3 linked regions of the Lepisosteus oculatus genome follow. The main gene of each other region encodes a partner of the protein of the gene in region 2 in a complex. Links are inferred from orthologs where the notes say so. Each region holds a gene or a part of one and is shown on either strand. Other genes may lie near its edges. The genes, in order: fsta, inhbab and acvr2aa.

Evidence for each region.
Region 1: the proteins of inhbab (region 2) and fsta are in contact, whole or in part, in a crystal structure (PDB 2P6A), measured with the Homo sapiens proteins. The link is inferred for Lepisosteus oculatus from reciprocal best matches to the Homo sapiens genes INHBA and FST. Residues at the interface, in NP_002183.1 of Homo sapiens: Asp315, Phe327, Asp337, Trp338, Ile340, Ala341, Gly344, Tyr345, His346, Gly360, Thr361, Gly363, Phe368, Thr371, Arg397, Ser400, Leu402, Tyr404, Asp405, Asp406, Gly407, Gln408, Asn409, Ile410, Ile411, Lys412; in NP_037541.1 of Homo sapiens: Trp33, Arg35, Val44, Leu45, Arg60, Phe76, Met79, Asp135, Glu152, Pro154, Glu155, Val180, Val181, Asp182, Gln183, Tyr188, Val190, Arg221, Thr224, Cys225, Arg229, Ser230, Ile231, Gly232, Leu233, Glu328.
Region 3: the proteins of inhbab (region 2) and acvr2aa are in contact, whole or in part, in a crystal structure (PDB 7U5P), measured with the Homo sapiens proteins. The link is inferred for Lepisosteus oculatus from reciprocal best matches to the Homo sapiens genes INHBA and ACVR2A. Residues at the interface, in NP_002183.1 of Homo sapiens: Ile340, Ala341, Pro342, His346, Arg397, Pro398, Met399, Ser400, Met401, Leu402, Tyr404, Asn409, Ile410, Ile411, Lys412, Asp414, Glu421; in NP_001265508.1 of Homo sapiens: Asn36, Asp53, Lys56, Phe61, Thr63, Lys65, Val74, Lys75, Cys78, Trp79, Leu80, Asp81, Asp82, Ile83, Asn84, Val100, Phe102.

What each region holds. Positions count from the first base shown.
Region 1 is NC_090698.1:38,663,468-38,674,450, forward strand, and holds the start of fsta (follistatin-A), read right to left. Parts: upstream 4,642-10,983; 5' UTR 4,486-4,641; coding exon 4,392-4,485; intron 2,876-4,391; coding exon 2,684-2,875; intron 2,458-2,683; coding exon 2,239-2,457; intron 1,996-2,238; coding exon 1,771-1,995; intron 1,059-1,770; coding exon 828-1,058; coding exon of another isoform or gene 820-827; intron 1-819. UniProt on the Homo sapiens protein: Multifunctional regulatory protein whose primary function is to antagonize members of the transforming growth factor beta (TGF-beta) superfamily including activin, myostatin, GDF11 or bone morphogenetic proteins (BMPs).
Region 2 is NC_090701.1:16,469,852-16,480,736, reverse strand, and holds the start of inhbab (inhibin subunit beta Ab), read right to left. Parts: upstream 4,535-10,885; coding exon 4,141-4,534; intron 1,379-4,140; exon of another isoform or gene 1,157-1,378; intron 1-1,156. UniProt on the Homo sapiens protein: Inhibins/activins are involved in regulating a number of diverse functions such as hypothalamic and pituitary hormone secretion, gonadal hormone secretion, germ cell development and maturation, erythroid differentiation, insulin secretion, nerve cell survival, embryonic axial development or bone growth, depending on their subunit composition.
Region 3 is NC_090707.1:2,721,820-2,732,430, reverse strand, and holds the start of acvr2aa (activin receptor type-2A), read right to left. Parts: upstream 4,950-10,611; 5' UTR 3,360-4,949; coding exon 3,305-3,359; intron 1-3,304. UniProt on the Homo sapiens protein: On ligand binding, forms a receptor complex consisting of two type II and two type I transmembrane serine/threonine kinases.

The sequences.
Region 1 (10,983 bases), on a different chromosome or scaffold from region 2:
GTTTTCATTATATTCTTAAATGAAAGCATTCAGTCTACAATGACATGGCAAAGAACAAATATCAATTTGACAATAAAACAATTTTGCAAGACATTATCTGATTGGCTGTTTGGAATGTTGTTATTTTCTTCCACTCCTCTGCAGTACCTAATAGTAACACTAGTAATTCAGCACATGAAAAAGGTCATGTACTGCATTGTGCTGAGAAATATTACTTGATTTAGTTATCATGTTAACATTGCCCCTTAGTATTTAAAACTGCAATGGTACCAATGTTACAATCACCTTATGTACAATTATGAATGTATGCTTCTATATAAAGGCTTAATTGTGTATGTCATAGTAGAAATCAATGTCAGTGGATTTTAAAATGATTGATTACAGCCATAAGCAAGGAAATAAATACATGGTTAACATATGATTACCATTATGACCGTGTCATTTACAAGATGTAAAGATATGGCCAACTTATGTGTCTTCCTACATTGACAGCATGACAGCAAGTATATCGTCTTAAGGCAACCTGCTGAAGGACAGGCTACTAGAATTACCATGTACTCTTCTACAATTTCTTAGCAAGAGTGCACTAACTGCAAACATTAGTCTTCAAATATAATCTTGTTAGTTATGTGAAGGGAATTAGGAGCCCAATAGCTCCCAAAGATGAGTCTTCATGTCTACTTCGGTTTTTTGCAGAAAATGCAAAATTAATAAAGCCAGTGCAAGAAGACATGCAACAACTCCCATTTCCAGTCTTTTCTTTTCCTTAGTCTGCAAGGGGTGGCTGACAGAATATCGAAGTGTCTTTCACTTTATGGTTTACTTACAGTTGCAAGATCCAGAATGTTTAACTTCCAGAAGAACGCCCACAGAGCAAGCGGCCTTCTTCATGGCACACTCGCTGGGGTACGTGGTGTTATCGCTGGCACACACTGCCTCATCTGATCTGCTCTCAGGACACACTTCATCACACAGTGAGCAGCGTCCCCTGCCCATTCTTGCATCCCATAGACACGTCTTCCCAGCGCTGCACTGGATATCATCACAGGATTTCGCTTCTACAAAACCAGGGAACACCACAGAGTCCCTTAGCAAACTGCCCTTTATGTTCATAAACACCACATATAATTAAAAGCAATGAGGATTTGGCTTAATTTTATGACAGAGATAAAGGGATTCAGTAAGTATGCCATGAGGGTATGTTTTATAAAAAGAGCTTGGCATACATGTACTGTCGTCCTAAGATCACATAGAATCAGGATGTGCCATCACATACATATATACAAACATACTGTACATGTATATATTTTCCCCAAAATAACAAGCATGTAGACCAATGTAATATGATAGCATAACGAGGCTCCAGGTCTCCCATTCATAATTACTCCCTTACATGTTGTGGTAGTAAGACGGGTGTTGGCATCTGGACAGAACACATGGAAATCAACTAATAACAGCAAAGCCAACAAGGTCTGGAAAACATTTTAAAGTTTTAACATCATATGACCCCAGGTATGTATAACAAAAAACAGTTTGAAAATGAGAAACTGTGGCAGACTAAATTGGGGGGTGAATTGAGGACATGAAACTTTTTTTAAATATTACTTATGTCTATAACTAGACATTTTCTATCAAAATGGAATGCACTTTCATGTTCATTAGGATTAAAAAGAGGCTTTTTTTCTGAAATGCAGAAAGACAAACTTAAAGGTGTCAAAACAGTGATCTGAAGAGTTCGGTATTGTAACATGGGACCTGACAATAACTTACTTATGCATTTTCCTTCATATGCAACACCAATTGATCTGCCCAGCAGGCAAGTAGCCCTTCTCAGGTGGCAAGCGCTTGCATAAATGATTCCATCATTTCCACACAGATACTGCTCTGGAGATGTAACTTCGGGGCAAATCCGATTACATGTCACACAGTAGGCATTATTGGTCTGGTCAACGACGCACGTTGAACTGCCCGGACACAGAACATCACGGCATGTCTCTATAAGAAAGTCAAATTATAAGTAGATCATGTTGTTTTTTTTTTAAAGAAGGGACTTCTTTATTAATATGTTGTTTAATATCATTGAATATCGTCAACATCACCATTATATTATTAGGCATGACCTATGCACCATTAGTGTATTTCCACACAACTGCAAACAGTGCATTTCCACAGTCTTTCTCCTTCTTAGCATTCACAGCATCTTTTAGTGGGGAAGACAAGAGACACTAAGGAACTTACTTTTGCATTTGCCCTGGTATTGAACTTCCAGGTCTGGATGACCTTTACATCTTGCCTTCAGCAAGGCGCATTCATCTCTGTAGGTCTTTCCATCGGACCCGCAGACAGGTCCTTTCCAAGTAACATTGGAACAGTCGGGAGCACAGACACAGCGGGGTTTGTTTCTCTTGTTCATTTTACATCTTTTTCCAGGGCCACAGTCCACATTGTCACAAGATTCTACACAAATAAAACACAATAAATGACATGCAGCTATTGAAAAAGGGTAATGACCTTGGAATTCACGTTTTTATTAATTATTTCCAAATGAAATTATTTATTCACAAATACACAAACTAGCTTTGCTATCTTCATAAAATTTATTGATCTGGCACTTAATCGTTTTTTAATAAGACTGCTATACACTGTACATCGATAGTAATATATTGGGCTTAATTTCATGTACCTTTACAAGGTACACAATTTGGGGCTCCTCCGTTGAAGATCATCCACCTAAAAAGCGTGCTATTTGGTACATCTTCCTCGGTCCACGAAGTTCCCAGTCTGCCACTTCTGCAACACTCTTCTCTGCTCATCCCAGACATGTAGAGAACCTGGCATCTTCCGTTTTTTCCCTGCTGTAGCCAGCAGTTACCAGCTGCAAAGAAAAAGAACTTAAAGTCGGAAGCCAATGACCCAGACATAACACGTGCAGCTTACTGTATATTGGCTTATGGTGGTCTGTTTATCCTCGGTATTTTGTCTGATTCTGTAACGTGACGAGACATTTAACAATTGCAAAGTCAGATCCCAATACGATTACCTACCTTACGACAACCGTCTACACAAATCGGAAAAAGCAATACAATACTACCGCGTCTGTTTTAAACCAGATTTCAAATGGACAGTACGAGTCACAGTACGGGGGACAAGGTACCGCATGAATAATATGCTAAAGCACAGTACAATAGTGTAAAGCCAGCCTAAAATCAAATTATGATTAATCGTATTGAAGAAACTAAAATCACCAAGATACAACTACTATCACACGGGTTTTGTTAATAATGCTAAAATGTCGAGATACCACTGCAATCACATGGATGGTGTTAATTACAGTTTAAAACAAAGAACACTGCATGAAATGTTAACAGCTGAAAACTTGCTTTTCAAAACATGTGTAGCGTACTGTACACTTGCGCTTCATCCCCCTTGTCCGTGCACTCTGTGTGAGAGCACACTGAAGAAAGCAGCAGTGTCGGATTTACTTCAACACTTGGGAAGATTAACTGCTAGTCACAGCATTACCATACAGTCGGTGCAACGCGGCGGACATGTCATTGCAGTACACTTTCCGAGTCACGCAAGGTTTATATTTATTTTGCTGTGTTTCATGAGACGAGTTGACCTACTTGGATCGCGGTTACACTGCTAGCTCTTGTATGAAAGGAATGGGACTTCACTACCAATAAATAAGCAATGTGACTTTTCTGTTGGTTCAATGGCAATTAATTCATCCAGCTTCAATGGGTCGTGAGATCTGTAGGCTATTTACTATTCCTGTCTTCCAACAAAACGAGACTCAACAGACTTCATGTAAAGTCTATTAATACAACTGCCTGAAAAGTGGGGTAATAAAAAAGTTGAAAACTGAAGCTTATATTTAGAGCTGCTAGATAAATTGACTGTCAGGGAGAGCAGAAGACTTAAAATCACGTGTTATGTCTCTGGTATTAATTGTATTATTCTTTCCAGTTTAAGTTTCCTTCAGGAAATCTGAAGCCTAAAAACACAGTTATCGCTGTTATACATATTAAAGTGCTTCATTTATAGTCCAGCACAAGTATACCCTACCATAAACCGATGCTTGGCTAGTTAGTCAAGTGAAATATAATATGCAGGTAAAAAGCTTGAATATCCAAATATTCAATACATATTTTAAAAACGAATAGAAATGCACCTGTTTTGTTAGCGCTTAATGCATTAAGATAAAGCTGAGTTGCATGTTCAGAACAAAGTTAAAAGTAAATACAAAGTGATCTTGCGTATACCCGTTAGGTCTTGAAAAAGTTTTAAACCTGACACTTTATTTTTTATACCATACAAATGTCTTTCAAAATATTAAATGGCATCCAACTAAAATGTACTACTAAAAATAACTGTATACTCGCACTTACCTTGCACTTTGTGATCTTCAATTAAATGACTTAGCCATATAAATAATAAAATCATGCCCGGGTGGAGCTGATATCTCTTTAGCATCCTTAGCATGATGAAGGCAAAGTGAACCGGAGTGAAGAAACAGGCAGCGGAAAAGTAATCTGCTTACGATCGCTGAGTTGAATGAATGTCAGTCTGTGAATGCAGCCTCTCTTTTTAAATCTATAAGGGGTCTCGGGCCGACTGTCTGTGGTGGGCGGTCTTCTAATCGGTGGGGGTGGGGAGTAAGATTAAAAAAAAGTTCTTTCGATCCAAATCAGGTGACATCTCCAGTCGAAACTTTCTCTCAAAACAATAGTACAGGAAACTATGCACAGTGGGCATGGTCTGGGATGTTGTGTACTGTATGTACGCGTCTGCGTTTGATACAATGTGAAAGAATACCAAGCCCGTCCCATAATGAAAGTGGAAGATATTGCAAGGCTATATTTATCATGATATAGCCTAATAACTGACATTAAAACTAAGGTCAATTAAAACACCTACACATGTTTTACATTAGAAAATGATTTTTTTTCTTATGTTCAATAATATTAGGAAATAAATCTCTTTTTAAAATTGAAGGTTTATGGTATTAACTTAAAACAAGTTTTAAAAATAGTTTTATATGAATACTTTACATTAAGAGAACTATACAACAACAACAACAACAACAAATGAATCCCAACTCTGAAAAAGAAATTCTTCAAAATGACCAGATTTCTATAACACCCAGCCATCTAAAAATCATTACAATATAACTACTGAATATTATATCACTGTAAGCAGTTTCGCCTTGGTTTTACGATTGCAACATCGAAAGACATTACTTCGTTTCATTATAATGCAGGTTTATTAACAGCCGTCTGGCTTTTGTTTACTCTATGTAGGCGAGTGCTCATTCTTTACAACATACTTGGCACTGTGCTATGAAAATGAGTGGGCGACATTTCTGCAAAAATTGCCTAACGTAGACGCTATTTACTCCAGTACTTTTTTCAAGATTATGCACCTCCTGAACTCCATGCCTTTTGAATAAATCCCCGCACGAAGAATGCCAATCGATTTTTTGGGTCTACCCACTTTCCCCCAGCTGCAAATATCTCGGTGATAACAGATATTCTTTCCACCAACTGCAGAAGATAGTGCTAATCTTTTAATAAAAGTGCTGTATTACAATAAGATCTGCCTGGACCGACAATAATAGATCACAGAATACAGGCATGCTAATATTAGAAGAGACAGTTGTTTGGGTTTCTCAGACCCAGGCTCTCAAGTTTATCCATCCCCGTTTCCAAATAGGTTTGAGAGCAAGCGGAGTATTGTATTACATAGCGAATATACATTAAGCAATAGTTGTTTCTAAGCAAATGCACCCTCTGTTATGTTCCGATTTAAGTCCACGTGCGACCTCTTCAGCAACACGCACACAGTGACTCGCTGCTCTTTCTGTGTGCGGTATTTCCAATTGCTGTAAGTCAGCTTTCGATTAAAACGGGTCGGGTTCCTTCTACCGGCAGACAATGTGTACTACATCTTTAACGAGTAAAAGAAATATGCTACTCTTTCTTTGCTCATAGTTGTGTTATGGATCCCCCCACACACGTAATTTATGCTCGCCAGTGAAGGGTTGATCCGAGAAAACAACTTATTTTAGGTCACATCTAGGTCTAGACTATCATGATATGTAGAATTTAGAATAATTTATATAACACCTAGTGGTACGTAACATTAAATAATTTTCAGAGGTTTGCACAGTAAAGATTAAATGATATGAACAGAACCCAAGAGATGCTAGCTGTCGGTAGTCTAATTTGATTCAGACAATGATTATTTACTAGAGGAATTGATATAATTCCAAGTGTGATATGTTTGTTCAATTCAGGTGGGTAGCTGCGTCAGCAAGCGTAGGCTGCAAAGGAACAAGTAAAGGTTTATGACATGCTGAGAAGAGAAAAAAGCAAATACAACGTTTGACGTTGACACCTGAAGAAGGCTTCACGGCCGAAACGTTGTGTTTTCTTCTCTTTTCACCATGGAATAAACCTATTATTTGTTTGTTCAAATTATTGTTTTAGGCAAATTGTAGTTTAAGGGGAACAAATGTATATATATGTGTGTTTAAAAGGTACGGAAATTGTGGAAACATAATTAAAAATCTCCTTTCCAGTAAGGCCTAACGCTTTAAATGAATTTGTTTATGTGACAGTGAATTAATACGAAAACAAGAACCAGAAATAATTTGGTGCCGTGATATTAACTTTTATTTGAATGCTCATGGGGTTCCCCACTGGAATGAAATGCTAAAAATCCTCAGTTTGTTGATGGAAAATGGTAAACAAGGAAACTGCAATTGTCATTTCAAAGCACTAATGTGCTTAAAAGAAGCTTATGGACTGATGGATTTTGGTTTTATTTTCAGATCATGTCAAGTTGTATTAATGAATTTCCAGATTTCAGACCTACTGTACATCTTTTTCTTTAGACAATGCTTTAATGGTGTTTCCCCTGTAAAGCCGTTAGAATGTTTTTATGTAAAGCAGTGTTTTAATGTATCTAAACCTTTTGGCTTATAACATCGATAATATATTTTTTTAATGTGATATGCGCAAAAATCCCGTTGAAAACAATATAATTTGTTTAAAAGGAACAAACAGTTTTAACTTCTACGACAAAACTAAATAACACAATAAATGTTTTTCTAACACAACGTGTTTTTCTTAAGACCTTCGCTGATAAACTGTCGATTAAAACACGTAATTGTGCATCTCCAGTTAGAAAATAAATTTGGGTGTGTTCAGTAATTATTCTTGAGTTAACACTATATTTTTACTTAATTATTTGAAAAAATATATATAGCCGGTAGTACTGTAATGATCAAAAATCTAAAATGCGCGCTTGTCAGCTGAGAAGTCATGAGAAGTTGGTTTTTAAGTTTAGCTCGCCCTAAACGGAAAAAAAACAACACTTTATGTAGAAATACATATTACAGGCAAGTTATACTGCATGTGTAAACTATATACTCGCGTTGAAATATGAACGAGCAAGACACTGATCAAGGAAGAGCATATCGCTGCCACATTAAAACAAACAAAAATCGCAGTCAGAACACATCTGATAGCCTGCGAAGTCACCAGCATGTTTTATGGAACAGTAAAATTTTCCTCTGTGCTTTTTTTTTTACCAATGTAATCACACCATATGTGGAGATCAGGTTTACACCAGGTGCTCATCCACTCCAGCCTTTACAAGTACTGTATGTACAGTAAATGGATGCACATTCCAATAGCAAGAGGAGCATCTAATGAAAACAGTCATACTGGTATGATCAGAGGTCCTGTTACAGAATACTGTGACATGAAAATGACCAAACCAATACTGCAGTGTTATAAATTCAGGTCATTCTTGCCTTAAGATGTGGTGACCATTCTTGGGTGTTCATAATGTGCATTTGAAATAACAATTCATTACTTAACAAACAATAGCAAATATTCTATATCTGTCAATGATTTAGCATGTGCATTTCTTTTAAATTTTCTGATGTTAAAAATAATTTTCAGCCAAAGATTGCTTTAAATACCTCTATGATGAAGTTAACTTTTATTCACCATTCAATCCAGAAAATGTACCCACAAAAGTATTAAAAATAGATTTGACGAGGGTGTCCAGGGGTATCCTCTATTGCTTGAGAGGAGGCACTGAGGTTCAGTTATTGCTTGCATTCAAGATGAAGAGAAACCATTTCCCAGAAACAATGCAGATGCATAAACCAATTTGGTATACAGTATGTCATACATGCTGTTTTTCTAGTAATAGAGTAATCTTTAGAAATAGTTACATGGAATATGTTCTTAGTCAATACATAATTAACTAAGAATTCCAAACTGTCAAATTTAACAATTTTCAGAAAATCAGTCTTTTGTTTAAAAAAATCAGAGGTTGCTAATTATGTTAAAATATTAAAATATAACTCATTTAAATATCTATTTTTCCTTTTCTTTTTGGACATAACCATACATTAATGGAAAAACTCAAAATGCAATGTATTGTATCCATCATAAAAATGAGACTGCCTTGCTTATTTTTCATTCCAAAAACATGAATAGTTACATGCTGAAATGTTTTAGAATTCCTGAAAATGTAGCTAATGTGACTTTTTAATTATTGTTGTAAACGAATGTAAACAGTGTGGAGAATGTGAACTGTGTCTATTAAAGAAAGGTGGACAAACATATGAGATGGTATACACAAAATAAAGGAAAAGTACTGGAATACCTTACATGTGTATCTTATAATTGCATTATGGAACAAATCAACACACTGGATTATAAATTAATGTCCATTTGTCTGAAGACAAGTTTGAGATACAATTGAATACATGACATCAGCATAATCAAGGGCACAAGCAAGAGATGGATGGCCACTTTGCTGCAAATGTGTAGAGACATATAGTTCTTATTGCATAAAGTGCCTAAAGTATACAATTAAATCAAGTCTATGAATACATTTACCTTGATAAATGCTTTTGAATGTAGATGATATACTGTATACTGTGGGGTATATGCTAAACCTGCTACAGGCAGTTCAGTATGATGTTTTTAACTAAGTGGTTGCACTTGGCAAATACAATTGCATAATTTAGCCGCTTCATTATATTCCTGTATTGTAATGGTTGGCAACAGAAAGAAAATAAAAATATGAGAGTGAGATCATGTAGAAAATGATATTAAGACATTTAGTGTAAGATTGTTTTACTTACTTCTTCTTTACAAATTAATAGCAACTTTGATTTCTGTATATTGTTTTCCCATTGAGCTCTTGAAATAGGAAATTAATTACCATTGCTGAAATTTTCCAAAAGAAAATGAGCAACAAGAGTTTTTTTATGGTTTTAAACTGAAAAGACCATTATAGAGTTGCAGAATCATTTACTCACGTTATCATAGTTATCCTTATAACAGTCCCAAAAATGTGGGGTTGAATCCTATACTGTACTCAATGGGTGATGCAAACCAAGCTACTGTAAATGTTAGACATTCAATGCATATTTCTTGAGTATTCTGCCCAATTTTCATATTTGGACATGCTGTACAGTAATGACTTATCAATTAAATAGCCAAAATAAACTGTTCAAAATAATTACATTCAGTTTCTACTTAGTGTATTACTTGCTCATTCTCAGTGAGTAACAGTAAAGAGAAATAATGGCACTATCTCACTCCTAAAATATAATATTGCAGTATAACCTTAGTGAAATTGACACCATCAGTCAAAGGAAAATAAGCTTAAAGCCTATACAGTCTATGTTGACCCCATCTTAGCAGCACCTCAAAGAGCTGCTGTGAGGAAATAAAAAAGCAATTTATTTCTGCTTTCACCTAGATGTGTGATTTAAAGATTCCAACAGTATCTTTTAATGGTTGTTGAACAGTAAGCCTGAAAGAAAACTGCTAGCAGAAAAGACCTCAATTGCTTTTCTTTTGAATTTCTTGTTTTTCTTGTTTTTTTTGTGGACTCATATTTGGGAGAGCTATTTTTGTGGGTTTTATCACATGTCCTTGTGCTATTTGCCAAGCCAAATGCATAATATGCTCAAAGGTGTCTGGCAACAAAACATTGATCTGTTTTTATTTACGTGCTCATTTAACACTGTTTGACAACATGTTTGTTATTCCTAGATAATTGTCCCAGAATGTTATTACTCAACATTTCAGAAATAAAAACCAAAAGTAAGCATTACCATTAATATTACTGTATAAGCACTGGAACTGTTTCATTGTATGCCGTGTAAAATGTCAGTCTAAGGAAAGCACACTAATTACATTAGTCCAGTAATCATATTATAAGCAACAGGCTAGCCTACCTACAGTACATTTATAAACAGGTGTCAACATTGTTCATTTTATAGAAAATACCTTTGTTCACAATCAATGGAATTAACAAAAAGGTTGTCTAGTGCCTATAATTAAACTCAATAATGACATTTAATGACTCCTTTAAGGTATTATATACTGTATGAATACAGTAGGTAACCGTTAACACTAGAGGACTTTTGATATACTGTATTAATGGCAGAGTACAGGATTGATCACCCATATCATTAATCCATCTATATTTTAACTATTGGATAACTGTTTAAATGAACTGAACAATCCAAAATTAATGTTGTGGAATGTTGGATTTAAATGAAGCAACTGAACTAGAAGTTTATTATTTACTGACATTCTCCAGAGTGTTTTGCAAAATGTGATGCTTGCAGAAAAAGTGGAGAAGCACATATGAATAATCTTTGATATATGAAATTCATTCTATTATTGACATTTTAGTCTACATTGTGTAAGAATATGGTTCTGTACATACTGTATACCGTATGTACCTGTCAAAACATTATTACCATGTGTAAAGATATCATCAACAATTTACTCAAAGCTTCCAATAATGTTTTCAACTATTAGAACTGTGCTAACAACTTAACTCTTCTTTATTCATATTCATTTTGGTAAGAAACTAAGCTTGGCTTTTAGCATCTTAAATTCATATTGGTCTTCAAAAATCTTCAAAACCATCTCA
Region 2 (10,885 bases):
AAGGAATGTATTGCAAGATTCTTAAAATATGTATGAGAATGGACTGTAAAATGCAACTCACATTTTAAAATTAATATAAAATGACTGCTTTTTGATTATGATCTGTAATATCACCTGTCTCAGGAAAATATTTTGAGACCCTCTGTTACTCAATGACAGAATTCCCCAGGGACATTTAACTCTTGAAACAAACTACTGTGTACACCTTTGAATAAGAGTCACAGGACGCCTATAGTGGAATTCCTCTAATGATGTTCAGTTTAATTATTTCATTCAGGGAAATAAACTGTAGTGTAATTGGTGAACTCTCCATACCATCAAGTTCAGTGTGTTCTCTGCCTGAAACTCTTTCAAAGTCGGTCACACTGCTCATCAGCATGATAGGCAGGCTTAACCAAGTATCAGGGCCTGCATTTCTCTGAATGAAGCAATTAAGCACAGCATTGTTTGAAGAATTGCGCAGCCTGCTTCTAGTCTGCTTCTGTGCTCTGTGTTGCATTGTTAATATCTCCATTCTTTGATTACGAAACCTCATAGGACAAAAGTGTGCACTGAAGTTTTAATGTAACGGCTCTCATGAGCTATTAATAGTGAAGAGCTATTATGAGCATCATTCTTATGGAAATATGAGCAATGCAATTCCTGATGACAAAAACATACAGTATGAGTGGTGTATAGAGATGTTCACCACTGTGCTTACTTATCTTAGACACAGTGGGTATTATGAAGCAGCAACAATTTAGTTAATACCTCCACTAGTGTTTTCTATTATAACGCCTTTGATTTTTCTGAGGTGCTCCTTGTCATTAACAAAATCGTCTCCTCTTTCCTCTCTTTAATAGTCATAAAGCTGAAAGGCTATTTTTGTACTATAAAACAGAATCTGGGGATTAGTTAAAATAAAATGGTTAACAATTCAGTTGAAGATTGCCATATAATTGAATGTTTGCAAAAATAAGCAAAATCAATTAGTTTAAAAGGAGGACGATATGAAATGTCAAACAAGTATACACTGTACTGTATATACTGTACAGTATGTGTTAATAGCATTTTTTTCCATGGCATGCATGAAGATACTTTTTTTCAAAAAGAATATGGAAATTAAAACTGGTATCAGAATACTGATGTACTAGTCACGAGGAAATCCCTGTTTGGACGTTTAAGCCTAGATTTTTTTTTTATTGTTTTGGTTATTTTTATTTTATTAGAGGTATACAGACAAGTACAGCCGTCTGTCAGCGGTTCCCTCTTGTGGTTTTCGTGCGGAATCGCATGTAAAAATGATAAAAATTGACGGCAAGCATTTCTTTGGTGAGAAAAAAATGAATAGTGGATAAAGGTTGTGAAAGGAGGGTCTTCTTATCTGCATTTAAATCGGGTAAGACTCTTTATCTTTTTCTTATCGATGTATCAGAGGATTTACGTCAGGCTTACTTTGTATAGATCATAAGGAATAAGAGTTCTCGGTATGTCCACGATTTATTTGAAAACATGGACGCACAGAGTTGCTGTGCAAGCGAGCCGCATCTTTCCCGTAAGGATTTCTTTAAAGGTAATATTAACGTATGGGTCACGTGTCTTGAAAGGACGCACGTTAAATTGTTTTACCTTTAAGATAAAAAAGTAACACTAATGAAGCTTTGGCATTTCTGCTTAATCCATTGGGAGCAGTGAGGTTGGAATGTAATTTGACGAGTGTTCCGTGAAATCTAAAATAAAATCTGTTTCATGTCAGTAATGACATTTAAACGTAAGAGCTGTTCAAATTGATGAGCATACTGTAGCAAGCCTGACGTTATTTTATTTTCACAATAAAGCGGGATGAGCATAAATGTAATAGTTAAAGTCAACAAAATGCAATTCGCCGAATTAATCAAATACAATTTGGGGTTTTTTTTTGCAATATTTTACGAATATCAAGTATGGGTTACTAACGAGTCCAAAACACTGTACGTCTTAGGTCTACTTATCTCCAAAAGAAAATGTTTCTGATGCTCATGTTTCTTTAAGGCTATGGAAAGGAAGATTTGCGTATACTGTATCTGACAACCGTCTTCCTTCAGCCCTTCAAAGCACTTGAAGTAAAGTGTTGCAGGTTTTACGTGTTTGATGGCAATATAAACCTGGATTTGTCCTATGACCACTTTACACACGTGTGTTACTGCTGCGTACAACAGAATTTGCGGCATTTCGTCTATGGACCGTTTGATGTTTAGGAAGTCGAAAGCATGCATCATGATAGATTAAAGCTCCACTGCATTTACTAGACTTGATATGAGAGATTTCGGTACCTGAAGTACTAGTGCTTGCTCATTATTGGACTAAAAGTCAACCGACTTTGTTTGTGCCTCAAAGAAAGTTTAGCAGCAGGACTTGGGTGAGATTGTTCTGTCATTAATAAGGTCAACGGTGAGGTCACGTAGGCCAGTCATCAAGTGAGGTAGCATGCTGATTTGCAATACAATATAGGTTTGGAACCTCAGAAAGTAGGCAATGTCAACCTTTTTTCGCCCAGAAAAAAAAGGTAAAAAACTTAGCTTTCTGAATTAGATAATCGATAACTACTGTAGCACAAATCCCTTTGGCAGAATACTGGGACATGCCAGAAATTAAAAGATACTCATTCAAAATTGTTTTACAAGTGACAAATGCAATCATTTTAATTTTAAATATCTGCTTCTGGCACTACTGTGTAAATCCAGGTATCCAATTTGTATCTCATGCTTTTTTGCGCAGTTTGAAGTTTTATCTAAATGAGTTAGAAACAAAAGTTTTAGGACTATTTACTGTATACTTACTGTTTAACAATGAAAAACATAGTTTGTAGTATACTAAATAACTACCATATTTTTAACTGCAAAAATTCCTCTTTGAAAATAATTAGAAAAGGTTGAAAGTCAGTTAGACATGAACATGCTGAATACAGTGGCTCTCAGTCATTAAGTTTCATAAATGCAGATTCTCCAGTACTCCTAACATCCTCTGAACAACTTGACATCATTATACTGGTGTAGTAAAAATCTTTCATTAAAGTCAAACAATTGGTCTCAGTGCACGCCTTGCCAGAACATTGCCACTTCAGTGAACTCTCGTGTTCTTTTATTTTGTTAATCTGTACAGTCCACTTTTTGATCTGTAGAGCTCTTGAGCAAAGTACAGGTGTCATTCACTGCCAATGAATACAATGAATAGAAGCTCTTTGCCATACAGTTTTGTGGAGCAGACTTTTCTCATTACAGCTCATTTCAGGGCTTCCTGCTGCCAAATTAATCCTGTTAATTTAAGGAGTTTTACATACTCTCTACAAGCAAGTTTATCTAATCACTTCAGATTAAGCTGTTGATTTTCAAAGACTGTCAGGCTCAGTGAGTTTTGGCTTGCTTTGAACTTGGGTCTCCCACCTACTAGTCAGAACCCTCTTTTGCTCTTTTTGTCATAGCACAGAATATTCATTCAAATTTTTCATTCTTTCATTTCATTTAGTTGATTGTGTGAATGTATGTGTACTTTTTTATGCCAATATAATGAGGAATTGACTTTTTGCAATGTTACTTTTCCCACATTAAAAAAGTGGCATGTTTCAGGACAACAGGGTCTGTTGTTCAATGCTGAGTCCAATTGCTATCTGGACTGTGCATTTTCTGTAAAAAAACATTTAGACGTTAGATTTACTGTGAAACAGTAGGGGTCTCTGACTCCTGAACTGTGCTAACAGGCACACTTTGTAAGAAGCAGCAGTCAGGAGGATTTTCTTCAGTTATTGAGAATGCTGGAGTGCACTCTATGAAATTGTCTCCCTGCAGTACAAAAGGTGACAAATAGACAGCTCTGAAGAGTCAGGAATCACAAATATTCACATCTTCTACGTGCTGAAGTTGTGAACGTAGTTTTAGTAGGTAATTGGGTATCTAGCCTTCAATCAGTAGGATGCAACAAAATACCTTTAAGAGGGGTGCCTGAGTACAGTTTTAGATAACAGGTCTTAAAATCTTAAATTCTAGTGCATTAGGCTTGTTCCTCAGCCTCAGCTGCTTCCAAGAGAATTATGTTTACAAACCTGTCTAACTGGGTTGAAGACCTGCCCTCTTCCACACCTTGCCATTAAATCTCCCCCCCTCAGTTCAGACATGGGCTACTCACCTGCCTCAGCAAAAGTGATGATTTCCGAAGTTTGCTCCGCCAGCTCGCTCATCTCTGCCCGGCTGTGAGCCTCATCCTCAATCTCCACGTTGCCATCCTCGCCAACTTTTCCCACGTGTAGTTTTTTGATGGCATTCAGCAGGGCTGCCCTGGGCACGGGGTGGGTGATGTTGGGTCTTTCCTTCAGATGCAGCATGCTCAAGATGTGCTTCTTGACGGCCTCGACCATATCTGCTTGGGAGCTGGCAGGCACATCTTTCTGCAGCTTGGAGAGGGCACAAGAGGGACAGTCGGTGACCGGCGTGTGTCCATCAGGGGAGCCAGGGGTGGGAGAGCTCCCTGCCAAAATCCCAGAGAAGAGCAACAACATTCCACTCAGCAGAGAAAAAGACATCCTGAAAGAGTCAATCTGAGTTGTAAGTTTTCCCCCTTTTTACACTAAAACTGAAAAAAAAAACAAAGTAGAAACTAAGCAAAAATAAAGTATAATCCCTTTTTTTAAAATAAAGAAGCAAGAGCAAACACTTTGCAGATCTGGAAAGTTTGAGTCTGGTAGCTACCGAAGTCTTGATCAGTTAGTCAAAAAAAGTTTTTCTAAGTTTATCAGCTGAAGTTCTGTGGCAGTGTAGATGTGTAGTGCTGGAGGGATGTGCAGAGCACCCGATAGGTCTCAGTGAGTTCGCTGTGTATGAGCTGAATGGTTTTGTATAAGTGGGCAGGGTTAGCTCACTCACTCTCTCACTCTCTCTCCCTCTAATTATACCTCGCTCCCTCCCAGTTTTTCTATCACTATACTTCTGAGTCATGTTATACCAACTTTTTCTTTTTTTTATTGCTTGTCACCCTGCATATTATACATAAACTTCACCTCCTTTTCATGTTCTTATCTTGTTCTGGTTTTCTGCTTCTCTCAAGCTTCTCATTTATTTAACTACAAAAATATATCATTAACGTGTGAAAAGGCTTGATACTGTCCAACTGGGTCTAATTGTACAGGTGCAATCAATGTTATCATTCATAATCGATTCTTTTTTGCATTTTTGATGATTTAATATTAAGGAAACTATGTGTATTATCTTAGAAGCATTTCACTGCAAACATTTGTGAACATCTGGTAAGGTTTTATTAATGCTGAATAAAATCTGTAAATTAGCCTTTCTTGCTGCGCTGGGCCAGTGGACATAGTTATACATGAAATACCTATCACTTTGTAACTCACTTCCTCTGTATCATAAATAACCTCTTTGAAGACAGCACCTTGATTTTTGTCTAGATTATTATTGTTCTTCTAAACAAAATGTTTTTGAGTTTAAAGCTCAACTATACACACACTAAACAATTAGTCAGAAAGGAGCACATTGGAAAGTAAAGGTTTCCTCGTTTCCTGATGTACTTGCTTTTGAAAAAATGTCATTTTGTGACTAAGTGCTTTGTATAACCACAACTCATTTTTAACAATCATTCAGAAAAAGTCTGACAAGGAAATTTCTCAAAACCATAAGCTAGGTTCCTGAATGGTTTGGCTATGGCCTCCTGTTGGAGCACAAGTTGGACCCTGTACTGCAGTTCAGAGATCACTGGTTCAAATCTAGGCAATGTCATGAGCTACATATATCCCTGGTCAGGGTTTCCCAGAGGAAACGTCACATTTGACAAAGTACTGCCAGGGGTTTGAGGTTGGCCAGGGTTTTCCTGTGGTCCGGCTCCAATGACTTTGCAGTGTGTGCCTTCTTCAGCTCTCTTATACTGTACTTTAGAAGTCATTTTGACACTTTCTAGAAAATTTTAAGCAAGAGAATAGTCATTGTTCTTTGTTTCCTTTTAATTTTTTAGTTTACTTAACAGACATGAACAAACGTGCTCTTGATTTCTTTGAAGAAATCTCAAAGGACATGCATTCTGGGCTCTTTCTTTCCTTTTTTGTAAAGACTTAGCAACTGCACAGCTTACATTGACTTATTCAGGTATTTTGGTTATGTCCATATGAACTAGTGAGGTCAATTAACTCAGCAGCAGCCTCTGCTGGCAAAAAATGTTTCTTTCACCCAAATTTCAGTAACCTAGCAACCTAACAACTATTACTGTGCTCTTCACAACTCCTGTTCTCTTATTTCTGTTACCTCTCAACTTCATGCTCCGCAGGGTAGGTAATTAATTTCAGAACTTGCGCCATCTTCATGCTCTCAGTACATATTAAATTCATCTTGAGTGATGCTGGCCTGGAGTTGGGTATACTTCCTTGGAATGCTTGTGATCAGACCTCTTAAGGTCAAACAATATTTTGAAGAAGTGGGATGTTATTAATATTATGTTATTTTTTCCTGCATATTCCCCATTTTCTTGTCAGCCCTCAGTATTGCAGCTGTTGTAGCTGATTAGCACAGACAGATGGCTTAATATTACTAGTGTTGGCCTGCTTTCGATCTGGAGGGATGTGAGTGGTGATCCCATCACTCTCATCATCCTGGGACTCAGAGTAGGCCTGCAGATGCAGTGTGACTCCTCGTTGGCATGGGTGTGAGCTCTGTTATTAATGTTGGCCTAAAGGGGAAAAAAATGAGGAGGAATAATACAGTTGCAGCTCAGTCATATAGAGGTGGAGACCTTTAAGGGCAAATATTGGTAGGACTGCTTACATCCCACATCTCAAGAAAAAAAAAAAGTTCTGCATTGGACTAAAACATTATTCTTCTCTTGGAGGAAAAAGTTGACAAAATAACATTTTTGAAGAAGATGTGAATGATCAAATGTAGACAATTATATAACATTAACACATGAACAATGTAATGCAAGATTACTTTTTGGAAAGGCGAGAGGTGGTTCTGTCTAATCTGAACTGTCATGTGAAATTTGTTTAAAGGCTTTATTTTAGTCATTTTTACATCCTGTATTTATCATACCAAATTTTACCTCCCCACACACACTTCTCAGATTGTTTGGCCTGATTTATTCATCTCCTCTCAAAATATCTACATTTCAGCCTTATCTTATTAGGATAATACCTGCAACAGTCTTGCAGAACTACATGAGGATTCCCCCATGACTGGTAGTAACTAGATCTATTTCTCTCATATCTTCAGAGCAATTTCTGAACACTGGCCTTCCTTTTCAGTAGAATGAACTAAATTTGTCTGTCTATAATGATTTCCCCCCTGTCTCTTATCTTATGAGTGCTTAGAACAAAATTCTGTGGTTCATAGTGCCAGCTAAACCCATTTTCTAACTTGCAGCCAAAAGCAAACACAGATAAATTTCATTATGGTAGATATGCATATATAGTATTATTTTCACTATAATGTTGTTTTCCATCTACTATCTTACAAACATCACCATGACTTCCCTATTTCGTTTCTAGCATTGCTGTATTATCAGATTTCACAAGTTTTTTTTTAATGAAAAACTTACAGTTGAGCTAGAAGGCATTACTAAAGTTTTGCCTGACCAAATTAATATTTTTGGAAGCTCGTTGATTAAAAATAGTTGGAAGGGACAACCATGTTTTTTTTTTCCCACTAGGGGGCAAACTATCTCTAAAGTATAGTTAGTGCTGAATTGTCCTGGAGGCAGGACAGAATGATGTAGTGCTGGAATGGAGGACGTGCTCAGAACTTAAGTCCTCACAATTTTAGGAGGGGGAACATTTGCTAAATGATTCACTTTTTCTAACCATGAAGCATCACTGTGGCTATCCTGCTGTTTGTGCTAGATAGGGTGGGTGGTGAAATGATTAAAACATTTTGATCTCATAACTGATACTTTTTTATTAAGAAGATATAGTATCAGATATGTTATTTGATGCTATTTTGAGCTAGCTGAATGTGACATAATGCAGCTACAAATACAGTACATGCCACTTTTTACTGCTAATTAATGAAATGATCTCATTCTGCTGCTCTCAGAAATGTTTGATTAGTAAGAAAAACATTTTTAACAATGGGTCAGAGTAATGCATTACTTTTGATTGGATCTCTGAGAATAAACTCAGTAATTTTAAATGAGTAAAAGTCTTGGATTTCCCTGTTAACTTGCGTGTTTGCCAAATTTCTATACAACTGTGCTGAATTAGCTCTGCCACAGAAGCTTTACATGGTGAAGCCAAATGTAGCAGTATTCTTCAGACAGGAACTTGTCAATGGGATGGTTTACAATTATAGACCAAATAACATGAATGAGTAAAAATATAGTTTGTCTGCACTTCGTGGCATTTTGTGTGCTATGAGAATTTATCCTAAAATACAATTTAATATATATATATTATATCTAAGGTGCGGCACAATGGTGCTTTGGATAACCAGCCTCGCAGTGGTGAGACCCTGGGATAAAGTCCTGGGGTGCTGTTTGTGTGGAGTTTGTATGTTGTCCCTGTGTACATATGGTTTTTCTCCAGGTTTCCCGGTTTCCTCCCACAGTACAAAGACATACTGGCACCTGAAAAAGTGATCCAGGTGTGAGTGTGTGCAGGTCTGTGCCTGTGTGTGTCCTGTGATGGACTGTGGTCTCGTCCAGGGTGTATCCTGTCTTGCTCTTGTTGCCAACTGTGTTGGATGGATGGATAGATCTCGTACCTAACAATATTTAGTGTATGTATGATATAATTCAAAAATAATGTACTGTATTTTAACAAAAGCTACAAAAGAGGAAACAATCTTCACAAATTTAGGAAACATGTATTGCAGGTATTTTTTTTCCATTCTTAAATGTTTCTTGTGTTTTAGAACAATTGAATGAAAAAACATGACAATCTCAACAGTTTAATGTTGACATACATACACTATATATTGTTAGGTACGAGATCTATCCATCCATCCAACACAGTTGAACAATTCTTACCTACTGTGAACCTAGCAAAAGAACACACACGTTAACTGTTAAATCATTAAGAACATTTAAAGTTTATTAAACCATTCATTTTTTTAATGTCAGACATAATAAAGCCATTGATTCCACCACTTCCTACACAGAGAAAAAACCTGGTCAAATGATAATTTATACACTTGAAGTGCTGGGTTCATCTGCCTTTTTCTGTTTTCAATCAGACTAAAATTGTATTGAAGGGACCACTTAATGTGATGCTCTTGATTAGCTCTAGATTCTCACTACAAACCTGATTTACCAGTAGAACTTCAGTAAGTAAAGTAAGTCATCCTCAGAAAGACTTTAAGTGATTTCTTAGTCGACAACAATTTTTCTTATTGAGATTAATATTGTGAGATTTAGAGCCTAATGCTCTGATTTCAAAGTTCTATTAATAATATTAAAAATGACTTGTTTCCTAAACGATTGTAGAGGCCTTGGGCATTATTTTATACAAGAGGGGTCTTGAAAGAATCTTTCATACTAAATTGTCAGCACTTAGGAGCTCAACAGTCTGCATAACAATATTCTTCAAATAAGTTTTAAAATTTGGTTTCTGTACCATATCTGTAATGATAATTTTTGTTTGTTGTTTTCATATATGCTTTTGAGAAACATATGATTGAAATACATTTTAGCAATATGCCTAATAATAATGATAATACACTTTATTTTATATAGCAGCTTTAAAGGTGACTTCTCAAAGCACTTGTTAGTAATAAGTTAGGTGCAATATAAATTACACCCCCAAAAAGCTAACAGTAATTTCTCACAGTCCAACCTTGTACAATGCAGCAGTTCAACAAGACCAATTACACAACGATTATTATTTCACAGCTGAGCTGCTAAATAAACCAATAGTTTACAATCCTTAATAAACAGCCATTGGATATGAATATCACAATCTTCAAATGTCTATGTTGGTTTAATCAGATGAATAATGTGTACTACAATATTATAGAAATAAATTATGTAATATTCAATATTATTAGATATTAATTTTCAATAAATATATCCACATCACCGGTGTGACAGTAAAAGTGGAATCTGAAAAGATATTTTACTTTGGCAAATATCTGGATGTTTTCTTATTTTGAATATATCAATTGTTGAATGCACAAATGGTTAACTTTATAAATGTACGATAGCATTCTGACCAAATACTACACACAACACACTAAGTCCAGAAATGGTAATTCAGATAGTATACATTTTATCAAATGTGAAAAATAAGACTTTTCTCTACAGCTGTGTCCTGTAAAGTGAATGCAGTGATGTCTGTAAGAAAGCAATTAGCGTTCCTCAAGGAAGCCCAGTCACAACTCACACGCACACAATATGCTCCCTGTATGACTCAGCCCCATTAAAAAACATGCGTGCACGTTTTTCCCCTGCATTATGTCAGAGCATTTTTACAACCCAGACAAGACAGATGACAAAATGGAGATCATTGCTGATTCAAGCACCGCGATAGAGAAGAGAATAGGTCCTCATGGTTCATGTGACTCAGGGTAAATGATGCAGAAAGCACCAAGAGGAAGTGAAAGATTTACCTCTGAATAAGATAGTAGGCAGAATGACACTGTGTCTTTTTTAATGTAAACTTTTTAAGATTTCTCTTAAGTGATTTCTCTCATGTTTTTTTTAAATTTCTATCTGTGCCTCGCTCTCACTGTCTGGCTTCCATTAAAACTGAAGGGACTGGTACTTTTTCCTGGTTGCATATACCTTCCTTTTTTCTTTATTTTATGATATACTGTACAGTATGGCATGTAGGCTTAGTTATATAGTTTTGAAAGTTATACAGTATTATATAGTGCTGAAAAGAAAAGCCATTTCTGCAATTCCTTTCTGAATATGAGGTCCTTTAAACAGACAGATTTCCTTTTGG
Region 3 (10,611 bases), on a different chromosome or scaffold from region 2:
TAGCTTTCACTTTCCCGACTTTTTAACAACCTTGTGACTTAGTTTTGGAAGATTCTGTTTTTTGAAAACCGTACAACAGTATATAACAAATGAAAATGGGATAAAGTCGTACAAGAAAAGTCAAAAGCGGGGCGGCCCAAACAGGTTCCCGAGACGAGTCGGAGCACAGCACCCAGCTGTCAGTCCGTCTGCGCCAGCAAAGGCTAATACGGGAGTATTTCTTTCCACAGCAACATTGTCTAAAAATGACTGCAGCCAAGTGCGATTTACAGGTATCTCGGCCTCCACCCAGCCTCCTGAAATAGGGATTTTCGCCGAAGTTAGACCGCGAACAAAAGACGAAAAGACGGTGTGGCCGAGGACGGAAGGTAACCGAGAGCCAGCGAGCACGGTCGCGTCAGAAAGCTCATTAGTCACACTCACCCAAAAGCGCTGCTGTCGCTCGACACTCCCAAAACGTGCCAGGTGGCTAACAGGTGATAGTGTGACACTGTAATTACCTGCTGCCACTGCTGGCAAAAAGACGAACTCTCCGGAGAGCTCCCTGCACCGTTTAACAGGAGCCGCAGGGCTGCAAGACAAAGCCTGAACTGTTGTGGTTTGTTTTTTTTTCCGGCTCTGCCTGCGATTTCCTATTGCCAACAGCACCTAACCAACTGAACCCACGCTTTGACAAGGAAGGACGGGAGCTGAGGCCGAGAAGGTTTCATGGCTGCCTTACCTCCAAGAAATATTCCTACAGCTGGTCTTCGGAGAGGCACCCTATATGCGAAGTTCAAGCACGAGTAAGCTAAGGGAGATTTCCAGTGCAGTGAAAGTAATTCAAGACAGCGGTGATGGTAACATAAAGGAATGTTTAAACCACTTGGATGCAGGCCTTTATAAACATAATACAAACAACACTCACGCTAAAGTGAATTCCTCACGCTAAAACTCCAGGTTTGATGTTTGACACAACCGCGCGATAAGAAATGCTTTCCTTGCATGACCAGCCTCCCCTTGGCGACCGAGACACACTTACCTGTAGCTTCTGAAACGATAGAAGTCCCACTACTACAACGCCGCGAAGACGATACAGGTGTGTATATATACACACACACACATTAACAACGCATAAAGCAACAAACAATCAAAGCCGTCAAAAGTTTATTCTGGACAAAATGCAACATCAGTCTTTGCCGTTGTTCGCGACAGTGAATTTCCCGCAGGTGAGCTCGCCAGTAAAACGGCCAACCTCTTTCGCGGGCAAAGCCGCAGTGTGGAGGCAGGCAAGCTCACAGATGAACAGCTGTGCGCTCGGCAGTGAAAGTGCTGCTCACTCCGCCCCGGGCACAAACCCAGCTCCCATCTTTGCAACGCAACCTCCTGTCGCCCTGGGTTCCAGTGCCACGGCCATCTCATCTTACAGCGGGGCAGATAAACCGGCAGGCCCACGGCGCGTCACCCACCAGCTCGGGAGACGGCGGGCTCGCCCGTCAACACGGTTTTGGAATTTGCAAAGACGCAGGGCGCCTGAAGATAAGACGTGGAACAACCTCCAAAAACGGAGGCTACACATGTGCGGGGTATAGAAAGAAAAAAAGACAAGGTGCTTTTTGTTACAGGCGTCGAGACATAATGGGAGACTTCTTTAGCAATTGCTACACCTCCATCCGAAACTTCAGCGCGTTTCGTGAAGTTTTCATGAAACGGCCATCACAGAGCAGCGCTGAGTCTAATCTTGCCCTGTCTCGCCTCGGGTACCCGTGCCTTTCGCCACTGCCTGGCCGACTCCACTGGTGCAAATCCCAAGAACCATTCCGCCAGCACCTTCGCACCAGGCCACACCGGGGCAACTGCGGCCCGAAAACCGCTAAACCACGACCTTCTCCAAAATGCCTTCCCTGCGTGACGAAGATCGTCTTGTACCGCCAGACACGACGAATTTCTTCCAAGACAGACACCACAGCATTTGAACAGATTTTTAATATGAATGAACCTCCTTTTTTAATATCGTTAAGCTATTCTGCATCACAGGGATTTGCGACGTAGACAACAGCAGGGAATTAAATACCCTGGTCTAGGCCAGGCGCCTCATTTTCATTGTGAGCACGAAATGTAATTAAAAATATTGACATTAAATAGCTCACACGTCGACGTAAAAACACAAGTCACACTAGATACATTTTAATGATATGATTTCAAACCGTGTTATATTTACAGTTTTCGTCAGCTTAATGTACGTGGAACCTCTCACCAGTTTACATTTTTTTGCTCATTCAAAAAAAAACCCAGATCTCCATCACAGCTCCGCGTTACTGCACCTCGATCTGGTGATTTAATATAACCAGCGCAGCCATTCAGGAAATTCCGAAACACCGTGTGCTTCTCTCGACAGAAAACTCAAAACATTCAATGCGTGTATTTGCTGGATAACAGCATAGCCCGAATCACCAAATTAATTTAAGCAGCGCAACGTGTAATTTATCTTTATCTAATTGTATTGAACACAAGCGTATCATTTTCCCTTGAGTTATAATTTGTAACAAAGCCCCTCAATCAGATAATCAGATTTAGTACAGAACTAGAATTTCAGATTTGTGGACTGATATGAAGTAACGTCTCAAACCCCAGCGTTTTGCCTGAGAAGCTCAATTTGTGCGCGATAATCTTTGATACCCGCAGACCTTCACACGACACAAAATTCGCAATTCGACTATTTCGTTTTTAGCTTGCGGCCCGCTTAAGCATCTAAACAATGTCAATTGGATGATATTTCCCCCAGCTGAATAACTATTCACGAAGAAGCAGCCCGTCTCCTGTGTGTAAGCGATGAATTGATTGATTGGCACGTCCATCCCGTGTATCTCTGTTTACAGTTTACACTTCACTGTGCCGCTCCGAAATCACGAACTGCCATTGATTTTCATGCTCCATTGCCGGGTTATTCTAAGCCAGACAATACTCAACCCGTTTACAGGTACCTGGCGAAACATACAGCGAACTTCATCTCCGCACATAAAGTCTCAAAACACCGATTTCATTGGCCACTGTGCTCCGATCTGCTCGGCATTGATACTGTAACATGTTTACATTCAAGGTTACCTCTCTGCGACGCTACAAAGGGAGTAACAAAAAAACAACCAGAGCCTCAGTGAGAGCTGCCGTGTTTCCGAGCGGCCGACAATTTCAATCGCGAAGCTGGGCTGGAGGGAGATACTGTAGTAACAGCCAAGGGGCAGACGCACACCTCCTCTCGCCCGGCCGTTCCTCCGTCGCCCTCTCCAAAACGCGGCCAAGGCGCAAGCGAAACCCCCCTACCCACCTGAGGAACAGGAGATGAGGAAAACGGCGAAGGCTAGTTTCGTCGCTGCTCCCATTTTCAGTCCGCGAACCAATCCGGTATTGCAATAAAATCCTTAAAAACGACGAAATTCCCAGGATGAGCACCCACTCGTAAAATGTCTTCTTTTATTGAGTCATAGATGTGCGCGTTTATGTTTCGTATATATATTTTTAATGAAAGCCAAGCCTTAAATCAAGGAATTAGAAATTTCTTAAAAATTTTACTGTGACAAACTGCCGCTGGCAAAGTCCCAGGGCAGGCCCCGCTCCTGAATTTTGCGTGTACAGTCCTGAAACTCAAGAGACATGTGTCACTTGACTGGCTGAGAGCATCAACATGTTTTTTGACATTTTTTTTCTTTCAAAATGATCTTATTTCGGAGACGCCACGTGTTCAGTTCGCAGATGCCCGCAAAGCCGAAGGCGCCTGGGCACCGATCAGTCCAGATGCTAGTAGTAGTAGTTGTTGTTTTGAATTAAAAATCTTCAGATCAAAAAGAAAAACATCGTCGCTTGCTGCTTGCAACAAAATACCTTTCCTTACGGACCATGCACCGAATCCCCCAGTGAAAGCTGGAGAATGTGCAATAGAAAGGTTTTAAAAATTTTTTTCTTGTAGTGTTTTTCAGTTTTCTCCAGGAATACTACAGTAGCGAACGCACAAGGCAGCAGTCATCTGTCCGAATTCTGTGACATATAGGGATTTGCATAATATCAGCGGAGTTCATAACGCATTCAATCACGACACATGGACATTGTATTCAGCCGCTGGGAGGGTGGATGCACATGTACTAATACTGGTTAAAATTCTCCCAGCGACGATAACGTCCCCCTAAAACGAGCCACTTTATCCCCCCCGACACGAGTGATCCTCCCCGAACAGAAAAAAAAAATCCTTGCTATTTGGATCTCAAGTCCACGTTTCCAAACGCCGAGTGTAAAAATGCGTGGCAACGACTTGTCACAAGCGCAGGCTTCTTCATAATTGCACCGAGGACGAAAAGGCGAGATTCCCGTTTTCTTGGTGGTTTGTTATGGGAGGGGGTGGTGGAAAACAGCACAGTCCTGTTGCTGCCTCTCGCCTGCCTGCCTGCCTGCCTGTCTGCTGTGGTGGGTAGGTACCCGATCTGAGGTGTCAAGTCCGAACCTAGCACTTCAAAATAACTTCAGTGCTCCACCAGAGACTCGCAAAATCCACCACGACGCCGGAGGAAAACCCGTGCAGTCACCTGGCCAGGCGACCCCTCGCCTCCGCGGCCAAGCTGTCAGAGAGACTCCTTGACGGCGCTGGCTCGCTTCTCTCGCCTGCCTTCCTCGCAGCCTCTCTCATTCAGCGAAAACAGACCCGATTCAAGATGGCGGCCGGCACGAATTGTTTTTGTTTTTTTTTTTCCTCCCCTCTCTCCTCTCTCCTCCTCCTCCTCCATCTCTACCCGGCCCCTCCGACGGCGAGCCGTCTCCCCGCACGGCGAATACCCTTGACTGACATCACAGCACGTCAAATCGAAAGGGAGGGGGAGCCACGCCAGCCGCCAGCCGCTCCGCTCCCTCGCCCAATCCCACGCAGGACACCCGCCTTGTGTGGAGCAGGTCGGGGCGCTGGAAGTCCCAGGCTCTCTGCAGCGCGCCGCGAAGGCGTGATTGATGGGCGCCGCTTCCTATGGCCGGCAGAGGGGCATTAACGGGCCGAGCCGTGGAGCCAGCGCTGCTGCCTGTAGTGCACAGGACTTACACGGGATGCATGCGTCGCCCTGGCACAGGCGTGGGCGTGTGCAGCACACGGGGCGATGAATCTTTTTTGCAAACCAGCGCTTGGGCATTTTTTTAACGCCGTGTCCTCCAAATCTAATCCGCCCTGGGACTGCGGAATGGTTTCACACCTGCAAACGTGCCCCCCCCCCCGCCAGTTACAGAATAAGCAGTCTTCGCAGGTTTCTGTGTTGTTCATACACGTGTTCGGTTTCGGTATTTTATACTGGTCGATATTTTGATATTAATAACCAGAGATGACATGGACTTTGCGCCTTTTGGAGAGTCCGTTTTTTTCTGAGATGTCTTATCAAAGTCACAAATCCCTGTACAGTAGAGCCAGAACAACAATTATGTTTCATATCAAAATCTACCCCGAAATACTCTTACCACATCTCATGCTTTGGTCCGCAGTGAAAGACACTTTGAAGTGTATTTATACCGGCATGTTCACGTTTCGCACAATGTTTCAAAAGTATTTTCAAAAATACATTTTAACAAGGCGGAGAGAGAAATGAATAAACCAGCTCTCTGTCTCCCAAAGCGTCTGCTACAGTGACTTATCTTGCTGTCTTTTGTTTTGGAAGACATTCCAAACAACATACAGTAGGTGTAACTCAAGAGCCCTGCAACATCCAATCCGATGACCACAGTTGTTTATTAGAAACTGGTCCCTCAATGATCACATTACTCCACAAGGGGTTTGTTATATAGGAATCAAGATGGAGGCAAACAGTTCAGATTTCAAAAGAAATGTTCTGTTCAGAGGTTAGGTGGCACTTCATTTCTGTCATCCTACAATGGGCCACTCTGATTCAGTCCTGGAAAAGTTTATTATCTTTTCTTAAGATGTGCTGCCTCTGGCACACCTGAACACGCTGCTCAGAGGAAGTGTTTCAGTGCAGTGGGTCTTGTTGGTTTCATGCTGAGACTTACGAACAGAACTATTATCCAGCTCAAACATGGATACATGCCTTAGCAGGACTTCATTAAAGGACAGTGGGATCTGCCACAAAGCCAGATTTCAGAAGGGTCTTCCACATATACAGTGTACAGTAACATACTAAATGAACTGAGTGTTTTATTGTGTTGTGAGTGTACAGTATAGGACTACTGACATGTACAGTACTGTATCGTTTCACTTATTCTATAATACAATCCATTATATTTTATAGCACTTGAAATTGTACAATGTCAGTGTCTCAACGCTCCTCTTTGATGATAGCTGCTGTTACAGTCTTCTCCAGTGTGTTGTCAGTGTAGAGTCCTCTCTGTCACAGGTCCCCAGCGCTGAGCTGTGATATTCTGCCACTGGGTCTCCACTCCTGAGGAGAAATTATTACTAGAAATCATACTGCATGTTCAACTGGTAAAGGTCAGTCTTATTTATTTAATCTTATTTAGTGCAAATTCCTTTTCCTTTAAATAAAGCACGAAAGGTCATGTATTTTGTGTACACTTTATGTATGAAAGAAATGGAGAATATTATGTACAAGTTCTTCTACTCTACAAGAAAAACTCTACTCTAAAAAACTCTACAAGTTTAAAGTACCTATAGATGACAATCTGTTACTTGCAGTTACATCCAATTTATATGATACATTTCTCTTTAAGGAGAATAGGTCTCTGTAGGTTTCAATTAAATTGATTTATTCAAATAAGCAAATGTCAATGGGAAGCACCAAAGATAATGGTTTCAAGCAAAGAGCAGACCAATTTGAGTGATATATTGACTCAAAATGGTCAGTCATCTAGGTTAATGCAAGTGTAAAAACTAAGGTTGTTTACACTTGGAAGTTGTGACACATTTCTTGATCGCTTAATGGTATTTTTTCTCCAAATAGATGATAACTTGTATGGATCAACGTCCGTACAACCATTTTGTTGAGTCGTCTGCAATCATTTTCTGAATCGTGGATATCCTTGCATAGTACCTGATTAATATTAAATCAGCAGAATTTTGATTTTTTACTATAATAATTCCTATTTACCTTCATAAAACCATGTTGTAGTTTATTCTGCTATATTAAATTCTATACTTTTGTCTTCTTTGCACAAATTCCTTTATCGGCATATATCCTAATATGTTTGAGACAGAGAGAAAGTTATATTGTTCAAATGATAAAATTACCTCTTGAAAGATCTTTACATTGAAGACAATCTTTTTGGGATTGGGTCAGAAAACAAAGGAAGAAAGTACTTGAGACAAAGTGTTTAAGTACTGTATCTCTGATACTTCAAAGTGCATTTTTTAGTTGACTTTTTCAGCGTATTTCAAGCATTTAACTATGTAGATATGCAACGGGCCTGTCTTTATTTTCTCTTTGGGAATAGCATATCATCTGATATAAGTGACTTTTATATACTCCATAAACGGTTACAAAGAAGCTTTGAAGGTTTTAATGTCGAGGGACCGGTCATTTAACTGCCGTGGCGTGCTACAACACGTTTTATATCACAGCCTCTTGTTGCTGACGATCTGGCTTGTAGCCAAAACCTGTTAGATCTTCTTTAGATCTGAAAAGGGTGGTCTTAAGACTCGCCGGGTCTAAAAAGGAGATCAACGCTTTATGAAATTTCTACAGAGGTTGCGCGGAAGAGAGTATTTTACCAGTAATAAAATAAAAACGAAGCACAAAATGTCCTGAATAAACCTTCAGCTGCTGTGCACTTCCCTTCCTTTAGGAGCAGCATTTTGAGAGAGAATCGAAGAGAGATGTCCGGGGCTCCTGTCGCCTGTCTCAGATGCTCCGTCATAAATAGGACGACGCACTTACGCGTGAAATACAATAGGTGGATACAAATCACGATTATGAAAAGAGTTACTGTGGTGATGTTGAATTTGCGGAAAGAGCATACATTTTCTGCACGAAAACGACTTTTTAAATGGTAGACCACATGTGGTCTGACATTAACAGCAACGACAACAACCATCTTCATGTGATGTAGCAGCTTTCATGTGGAAAAAAATCCGCAAATGTTTCCCCAGAATAAAAACAGATCAGCGATAATAAATATAAAAGCAGTAAATACAGATCAAAAAGTCCAACATTCCCGATAAAACATTTCCTGTCCTGTGTTTACGTTACCCTTGAAAAACATGCAAAATGATTTTAGCCGATTATTTAAGATGTTCACGAGAATGAGTTGTGCTTTTTTCTATAAGTTCTAAATTTAATTGTATCAAGTAATATTTGCACAGTAAAGATATATAAATCATACAAATAAATAGATCTAAACTTAACCAATTTACCACAAGTGCTGTTTTATGTTTTAGGGTATTTACATATTGATTTAAATGTGTGCATAACATAATATCTAATATAAAATTACAAAGCTTTTAATTCTGTAATATTTGATTTACATTTATGCCATTGCGTACAATATGCATGTGTCGGAGCTACACTACCAACACACTGCGTTCCCTAAAGGGTTGCCGTTAAAGTACGACGTGCCCTGTTTTATAAGTTATATACCGTATTTGTACCACTTTACAAAACCTTCGAGCTCCCCCTTTAAAAAGAGCGAGCTCGGACGGCCTGGGATGGTTTCGTTTTGAGCAAGAGAAACGTGATTTCAGAGTGGAGCTGCCAGTGGCCAACCTGCATCACACAGTGGACCCCCCCTTTACTGCCGCTGCACGTTATATAAACAGCGTGTTAATCCCACACCCACACCGCCGCACTTCTGAGCCGGTGCTGTTGACCTTGAAACCGGCGCATTAACTTGCAGCGCGCTTTATTTTAAGCTTTCCTCGCGGAATAGAGTCTTCACGCCGCCGCCCCTCCCCCACGCACTTACTGTAAATCCTGGGTTACAAAATCTATACGTTCCTGTGCTTAGTGATTGTAATAGGATCACCCCCCCCCCCCCCCCCCCCCCCCCATTTAAGACGGCGAGGTTCTTAATGTATAAAAATATCCACCCAACGCTGATTTTGTTTTTTAGGAAAATCTTAAAAGCGGGTTTACACCAAAAGATAAGGTTAATCGTGTAGTCGAAGTCGAAATTATGAGGCCTTCAGTCATCCCCTTGTAGCTAAGAAGCTGTTTATAAATGCGAAGAATTCCTTATCCAGCTACGTACGTTGCCTTATACCGAACCACCCTTTCCTCTACAGTCCAGGCTCTTTGCAGTTAATCAATACTAATGAAAACATAAACATTAAGAATTAAAACTTAGAATTTATGGAGCTTTTGTCGTGGCTGTTGAACTCCACGTTCTTTTTTAACGTGAAAGTGCCCTCTCTGAGCAAGCGATACGTCTGTCACACTCCGAAGTTCGGACACTATCGTTTATTTACTGAGCATGTTTGGTTTAAATTCCAGACGCCTTTGGAATATCTCATCATTCGAAGGCACCCTCTTTGTGCTCCGTGGTGATTATATCTGAGTTGCATTTCACTGCTTTGTAATGTCCAATTTTCATTGTAAATCGCAAAGTTTTAACAGATCACATTCAGTTAAAGAATCTGAGATAAACTTGTGCTGAAGTTACAGTAGGTTACTGTAGCTCAATGGTTGTAAGCATTTTGCTAAAAATACAATTATTTTTTTAAAATCTGACAAGACACGGGCTCTCTAGAATGCTGTGATTATCCGAAATGCATTGAAACACAAGCTCGTGTCATTTCCTCATTCCTTAGTGTCAATTCTTATTTCTCATTATCACTTTTTAAGGACTATAGCAATCTGAGATAGAACAAGTTCCATTGAGTGATAAAGCTGACAAGGTGAGTGAGGTGAAACATTTTCACATTTTTCAAACTTTGCTTTGGTTGAGGGTGTGAGTGATTAATGACCCTACCGAATAATCAGAATTGCTGTTTTCCCCTCTTACGTACGTGTGGCATTTGATAAAGAACTGCACACTGTTCCCTGTGCTTGAAGCTGGGGTTTTGTCAGCATTAAAACGTTTGGAATGCTGATCTGTCAGCGGTAATCTCTCACTGTGGTCTTCTAGGGCTCCAGCAACCTCATTTTACCCACAGAAATGTCAACAGGCACGTAGCTTTTAAAAACATTATTCAGATCAAGGAAGGAGAAAAGTACAGTGTGATATTTTTGTATGATTAACTCATTTTAAAGTAAAATGCAAATAAATTGTGTAACGCGAATATTGATAGCCCATTCATCGAGACCATGCTACACAATGATTCCGTTCAGTTTGGGGGTCTGGTGTTGTGAACTCCGTGCTTTCACGGCCACGAATGAGCAACAACTGTAGACTCAACCTTTCCCACGAGTTCCTAATTCTTGCCCACAAAGGTTGCATTTGCATTTTAAATAATACCCTCACTGGATGAAACGCCGCATCGTCCATTTAACGCATTTCAAGTAATAAATTGCTTTTGAATTCCCTTCTGTCAAAAAAAAAAACTGCTCACACATGTGTATGGTTGAACTTTTGTAAAATTATGAAACCTTTTGAAACCTGAGGCACGGAAAGTAGGCAAAACCCACACAGGAAGCACTAAGTACAACCAATCGCATTTCATTTGTGGAATACATTTTGAAACGGTTTAGAGAAGAGGTTCTG